2 linked regions of the Cricetulus griseus genome follow. The protein of the gene in region 1 purifies or fractionates together with the protein of each later gene. This does not show direct contact. Links are inferred from orthologs where the notes say so. Each region holds a gene or a part of one and is shown in the gene's direction. Other genes may lie near its edges. The genes, in order: Ctdspl2 and Pdik1l.

Region 1 (3,825 bases):
AAAAAAAAATTGAAGGAATGGGTTTTTTCATTTTATCTTATTGGAAGATCACAACAGACCTGAAGCGCAGAGGTCATAGAGCAGCTTTTTACTTATCAGTTTGCCCTTCATGGCTCACTCAGCTTTGCTTTTTTTTGTTTTGTTTTTTCAAGACAGGATTTCTCTGTATTGTTTTGGAATCTTGCCTCTGCCTCCCGAGTGCTAGGATTAAAGGCGTGCGCCACCAACGCCCGGCTTCAGCTTTGTTTTTTATATGAAACTTCTCAGGGATGGCACCACCTACAGTACACTAGACATTCCCATACCAGTCATTAATCAAGAAAATGCCCATAGATTTGCCTGTAGGCCATTCTGATGGAGGCATTTTCTCAATTGGGGTTTCCCCTTCTAAAAGGACTCTAGCTTGTTGAATTAACAAAAAACTAGCTAGCACATTCATTTTATGCTCATTTTTCTTGCTGAAAATGACAGTAATTATTAGACAGTAATAATAAATAGATTTCCGATTAGCTGATAGAAATCTTAATTCTACTAGCCATTTTGTAGTTTGCTATGTCATTGATAGTAGTAATTTCTTTTGGATATAGAGTTAAATCTGTTTTACTGAATGTCTTTAAATCTTAAATCTTGATAAATTATTTATCTTTAATCTAAAATATACAGGACCTCAAGAAGCTCTTGTATAAAGACAGTAAAAATGTGTACTTTGTCGGAAACTTCTGATGAGTGAATGTAATCTTCTTTTCCTCTTACTAAATAGCACCAGTAACTCCAGAGAGTGGTTACTCTTCAGCCCATGCAGAGGCCACCTATGAGGAAGACTGGGAAGTATTTGACCCGTGAGTTGTTTTGTAGTTATTAAATTTTCTTTCTTGAATTTTCTTTCTTGAATGATTTTCAGCTTCATGATGGAACTGAAAAATGATGTTTGTCCAGTAGAAACTGTACTTTGAATTTTGAAGTTCAACTTTTTCCTAAGTGGCAGTACATAGCAGGGTACTCTTTCATGTTGGGCAGAGAACTCTATCTCTGACTTATCCTGTGTTCTCACGAGGGCAGACAGCTGATGTTCTGCATTGTTTAACTTAGGCTTTATATTCTGTTAGTACTATATTTGTTAGTCTAGGTATATCATATGCATTTTTAAACTTACATTATTTTTGTTGTAAACATGGGAGATAAATCCCATGATAAGAGCTTGACCTGTAGGTAGGGTATAATACTTATAAGTGAGTTTTGGAGACACTAATCTGTATACTTTTACTTATGTGTTTTCAAAATTTAGTTTACTGGGTGAAGTGTTGAATTAGTTACTGCTTCATTGCTGTAACTGACAAGAAGCAACTTAGGAAGGGTATGTTTTGGTTAGTATCTTAAGTTAAGGATGCAGTCCCTCATAGCAGGAACTGTGGCAGTGAGACCCTGCTAACTGTGGCAGATAGGGGTATTCAGCTGCTGATGACTTTTTTTTAAAGATTTATTTATTTATTTTGTATACAGTGTTCTGCCTACATGTATCCCTGCAGGCCAGAAGAGGGCACCAGATCTCATTACTGATGGTTGTGAGCCACCATGTGGTTGCTGGGAATTGAACTCAGGACCTCTGGAAGAACAGCCAGAGCCATCTCTCCAGCCCTGCTGATGACTTTGTGTCTGCTATCAGAAAGCAGAGTAGTGAATGTTCTGTGCTGCTAGCTTTCTCCTTTGCCCATGGGACAGTGCTGCCCATGCTTAAATGTCTTAGGAAACACCCTTAGACACACAGAGATGTCTGTCTTCTAGGTGATTCTGTTAGATTGGTACAAAAGTAATTTGCAATCTTTGCAATGTTGAAATATATCTGATATTGGAATACTTAAATAAATGAGGTTATCCTACAAATCATTTTAATGTACATTTCTTTATTAATACACGCTTTTTATTTTTAGGTGGGTCTCACTACGTAGCTTTGGCTGGCCTGGAATTTGAAATGTAGACCAGGGTGGCCTCAAATTCACAAGTGCTGGGATCAAAGGTGTGATCCACTATGTCCGGCCCATACTGTTTATTTTATACTATGGAAATGATACGAAACAAAAAGCAAATTAAAGCCATTTTATTTTTTTGTTTGTTTAGTTTCTTTGTGACAGGGTTTCTTTCTGTAGCCCCACTGTCCTGTAACTTGCTTTATAGACCAGGGTGGCCTTGAAGTCACAGAGATCCTCCTGTTTCCTCAGTGGTGGGATTAAAGGCATGTGCCACCCAGCTCAAGCCATTTTCTTATTTGAGTTCAAAATGTGCTCTATCAGTAGCATATTTGGCCTAGAAATTGTTAGTAAACATACAGTGCAGTGGTGGTTCATGATGTTTTCCAATGGAGACTCGAGAAGGAGCTAGTGGCTGGACAGCAGAAGTTGACAAAGACCAATTGAGATCAATCATTGCTCATGAATCTCTTACAGTTATATAGGAAGTTGCTAAGTAACTATATATTCAATGGTCATTTGGTATTAGAAATAAATTGGAAACGTAAAAAGGTTTGATAAGCGGGTGCCTTATGAAGTGACTGAAAAGAAAAAAATGTTATATTAGGCCGATATCCTCCCTTATTTTAAGCTTCAAGGAATTTTCCCTGTCAGTTGTGACAGGTAAAGAGAGGTCTATTGTATACCACAACTGGCAGATGAACCCAGGGTCTGGACGAGAAGAAGCTTCAGAGCCCCTCCCCAAAGTCAAACACACCAAAAAAAGGTCATGGTCAGGGTTTGGTTGTCTGTTGCCACCAAACCTGATCACACAGATTCCTGAGCCTCGACAAAAGCATTACATCCCTGCTCTGCAGTCTAGCAGATAGGCTGAAATCTCCATAGGACTTCAAAATAGCTTTTTTTCAGGGTAAACATTTCTGCAAACACCAGCATGCAGAGAATTCAGAATCCTGAAGCCTGGATGTTTTACACTAGAGCAGTGTTCTCAACCTTCCTAATACTACTCACATCATGGTGATCTCCTACCATAAAATTAATGCATTGCTGTAATCTTGTTATAAATCATAATGTAAATAAATATCTGATATGTGACCCCTGTGAAATGGCCATTGGATCCCTAAAGGGGTTACATCCCACAGGCTGAGAACTGCAGCACTATAGGAATAAACAGATTTATTTCTTTGGTCTTCAGGAGATGAAAGATAGAAAAAAGCAAACAGTCCTTGTAGTCGAAAACATATTGATTGTTCTTACTGGGATCAATTAAGATGTGTTTGAGTCTAGTTACAGCAATTTAAAATTGAGTGACATAGCAGTTCCTTTTGTGCCAATCTAACAATCCAGTGGGATAGATAATGAAGACAAGCTGTACTGTAGGGATTAAACCCAAGGTCTTGCACATTGTATTGTATAGCAAGAATTGTGTAGCTGACCACATCCCAAGCTAATTAAAATTTAAGTTTAGTAGTGTTTGAAATACATGAAACAGAAATGTTGAAATTTTCCTAAAATTTGATTTATAGCTATTATTTCATCAAGCATGTTCCACCACTGACAGAAGAACAGCTAAATAGGAAACCTGCTCTTCCTTTGAAAACAAGAAGCACACCAGAGTTCTCCCTGGTCTTAGATCTGGTGAGTGTGCTATATCTTTCGGGTACAAAGAATAAGGGTGGAAAGAATACAAGTGAGGAAGCAGTCATATTTACTATGAATGTGTCGTGAGTGTTTTGCAAAGTTTTTATTTGAGTATATACTAATGTTAGGATCCCTAGGGTCTCTAGCATTAGACTAGTTTGGTTGGTATCTGGTATATTTTGAAAATAAATTAGACTTTAATTTAAATACAAAAATAAGA
Region 2 (3,825 bases), on another chromosome or scaffold:
CCACCAATGCCCAGCAATAGCAATTAATTTAAATATAAACTTGTCAGTTACTCCTTCTTCAGTGGCTCAGCTCTGAATCTTCCCTTTTCACACTACCAATCTAAAAAGATACCATATAACAAATAATTTAAAAGCAATTTTAGTCTTTTCATGAAATGATGAGCTAGAAAGTGGTAGAATTCAGCTATATTACCTATATAGAAAATGTAGGCCTGTTGGGCACTTTCCAGAATAGAGCTACTTAAAAATGTTACTTCTTGACTCAGAAATTTACCATGTATTTAGTAAGGGCAAAGGTGGCCTTCTGAAGTGCTAAAAAACATCTTTTAAAGGCATGTATAAAAGCACTGATGAAATAAAATATTTCTGATGTTTCCAGTTAGAGCTGGAGGCTGGGGCTGGACTTCCCTCAGCGCAGAGCAGAGCTTCCTAACCCTTCCACTTGTAATCTCTCCAGAGAAACATGTGCATGACCCTGGGCATATAGGTGTGTAAAACAGATCTACAAATAAACATGTACTGGTAATGAATCATAAATAATTTCATTTTAAAGCAATTCTTTGGTATAGATATAATTTCAGCTTTTACTAAAGTAGGAAGCAAGTTTATACACAACTGAAGTGAATGTGCTTGTTTATTTCTACATAAAGAGTTAAATCTTGGGTCTGGCATTGGTGGCGCATGCCTTTAATCCCAGCACTTGGGAGGCAGAGGCAGGTGGATCTCCATGAGTTCGAAGACAGCCTGGTCTACAGAGCATGTGCTGATAGAAGCTCCAAAGCTGTACAGAGAAACCCTGTCTCAAAAAAAACAAAACAAAACAAACAAACAAACAAAAAAACGAAACAAAGAGCTACTAAATCTTAGGCTGGCAAGATGGCTCAGTGGGCAGTGATGCTTGGATGTAAGCCTGACAATCTTAGTTCCATCCTCAGGTCCCATAAGGTGGAAGGAGAGAATCAGCCTCCAGAGTTACCCTCTGACACGTATGTGCTCAAATACTTGAGAGTACACAGATAAGAAATTAAATCCATTTAGAAAAAAATATTTGGTGAATATTTGTTGTTGTGAAACAGAACATCTTCAGTGTTTTCCACAATTGATACTTTTATTTTATGACCATGATTGGTGAGAACAGTGTTTCATATAAATAGGTCAGTACAAAATAGTAGATATAAATTTAGGCAAGTCAAAAATTGTTCACACTTCTGTCCTCACAGCTTTCAGTGGCCCTTCTGTAGTTCTGGGATCCCAGGTGTGTGCCGCCAACAGCAACTGCTAAAACCAAACCTCTCTTTCTCTCAGTCTCACTATATAACTCAAAATCCAGCAGGCTAAACTTGCAGTCTCTTGAGCTAGGTGTAGTGATAACACACCTGTGATTTCAGCACTGAAGATGGAAGCAGGAGGGTCAGAAGTTCAAGGCCAGCCATGACTATACAGTGAGTTTGAGGCTTTCATGAACTATTTGAGACCATGTCTCAAAACAGAGGAAAAAGAAGAGGAAAGAAAATCACACCCAAATTAAGCATTACACGAAAACATAACCCACTGATGGACTGCGTTGCTGATTAATGGCAGTAGAAAAATATCAGAAGTCTTTGTTTACCCCAATGAAACCATTATGTTTCTATAAGAGCAGACAAATATATATATAGTAAAACAATATAGCAGACATATATATATATATTAAAAAAATGCTGTAATTTGGTTTTGAATTAATTTTTGGTAACTGAAAATTTGTAGTTAAACTTTTGACTGTTGGCAGTTTGTTTTGTGTGTGTGACCTCCTACTTTCTGTGTAAGAGACCCTTGCCTTAATGGTCAATGGTGACTTTAATCCCCAGCACTTGGAAATATAAACAGGCAGATCTCTGTGAGTTCAAAGCCAGCCTGGTGTATAAAATAAGTTCCATGACATCCAAGGACACACAGCGAAACCCTGTCTCGAAAAATCAAAAAGAAAAGAATAAAGAAACCCGTGCCTGCCATGTATAAGATCCAACTGACCTAACTTTCTTTTATTTTCAAGACAGGGTTTCTCTGTGTAGTCATGGAACTCTCTCTGTAGACCAGGCTTGCCCTAACTCACAGAGATTCTCCTGACTCTGCCTCCCAAGTGTTGGCACCACTACTATCCAGCTTGGGTTGGTAATTTTTTTTTATTTAATTTTTATTTATCTGCATTGGTGTTTTGCCTACATGTATGTCTGTATGAGGAAGTTGGATTCCCTGGAATTGGAGTTAAAGACAGTTGTGACCTAACATGTGAATGCTAGAAATTGAACCTGGGTCCTCTGGGAGAGTAGCCAGTGCTCTTAACCACTGAGCCATCTCTCCAGTGCCCCCCATTTTTTTTTAAATTTTACTTTTTGATTTTGCATGACAGGGTATCTCTGTGTAACAGCTGTAGTTGTCCAGGAACTCTCCTTGTAAACCAGGCTGGCCTCGAACCCACAGAGATCCACCTGCCTCTGCCTCCCCAGTGCTGGGATTAAAGGTGTGCACCACTACCACCCAGCTAAATATATATATATATTATATATATATATATATATATATGTTAATTAAGATGTACAACCAGGTGTGTACACACCTTTAGTCCCAGCACTGGGGAGGCAGAGGCAGGCAGATCTCAGAATTAGAGGTCCACCTGGTCTACAAAGCAAGTTTCAGGGCAACCAGGGCTATACAGAGAAACCCTCTCGCAAAAAAAAAAAAAAGAGTTATTAATTTTTAAGTATGTTTGTGTGGAGGGAGGAATATATGTGTCAGTGCAGGTGCCCTTAGAGTCCAGAAAAAGTATTGGATTCCCCTGGAGCTATCATTACAGGCAATTGTGAGACACTGACTTGGGTGCTGAGGACCTGAAGTCCAGTCCTCTGAGGGCATTAAGCTCATAACTGCTGACCCATATTTCCAGCTTCCTTTAGCCTTTCTTTTTTTTTTAATATTTATTTATTTTGGTTTTTCGAGACAGGGTTTCTCTGTGGCTTTGGAGGCTGTCCTGGAACTAGCTCTTGTAGACCAGGCTGGGCTTGAACTTACCCTTTAACCTTTCTATAGTCAAATTTTTGTAATAACTTTTTCTCCTACTCCTTCTTCACAGCTTGTAGAGACTTCATTAAAAGGAGAAATTGCCTTTGATCCCAGAAGCGCCTATTATTTGTGGTTTGTGATGGATTTTTGTGACGGAGGAGATATGAATGAGTATCTGTTGTCCAGGAAACCCAATCGAAAGACTAACACCAGCTTCATGCTTCAGCTCAGCAGTGCTCTGGCTTTCTTGCACAAAAACCAGATCATCCACCGAGACCTGAAGCCTGATAACATCCTGATTTCTCAAAGCAGGTTGGACACCAGTGACTTGGAACCCACCCTGAAAGTGGCGGATTTTGGTCTAAGTAAAGTTTGTTCAGCATCTGGGCAGAACCCAGAAGAACCTGTCAGCGTAAACAAGTGTTTCCTTTCCACGGCATGTGGAACAGATTTCTACATGGCTCCCGAAGTTTGGGAAGGACACTACACAGCAAAAGCTGACATCTTTGCTCTGGGAATTATTATCTGGGCGATGCTGGAGAGGATCACTTTCATAGACACAGAGACAAAGAAGGAGCTCCTGGGGAGTTACGTAAAGCAGGGGACCGAAATTGTGCCTGTTGGGGAGGCACTTCTGGAAAACCCCAAAATGGAACTTCTCATCCCTGTGAAGAAAAAGTCTATGAATGGACGAATGAAGCAACTGATTAAGGAAATGCTGGCTGCAAACCCTCAGGATCGTCCGGATGCATTTGAACTAGAACTCAGATTAGTCCAAATTGCATT

The links.
Region 2: the proteins of Ctdspl2 (region 1) and Pdik1l purify together in Homo sapiens (affinity purification with mass spectrometry; 4 studies listed by BioGRID and IntAct, counting the BioPlex papers as one, with this or other methods). This does not show direct contact. The link is inferred for Cricetulus griseus from reciprocal best matches to the Homo sapiens genes CTDSPL2 and PDIK1L.

Annotation. Positions count from the first base shown.
Region 1 is NC_048599.1:56,446,501-56,450,325, reverse strand, and holds part of Ctdspl2 (CTD small phosphatase-like protein 2), read left to right. Parts: intron 1-760; coding exon 761-839; intron 840-3,490; coding exon 3,491-3,602; intron 3,603-3,825. UniProt on the Homo sapiens protein: Probable phosphatase.
Region 2 is NC_048595.1:19,030,469-19,034,293, forward strand, and holds part of Pdik1l (serine/threonine-protein kinase PDIK1L), read left to right. Parts: intron 1-3,109; coding exon 3,110-3,825.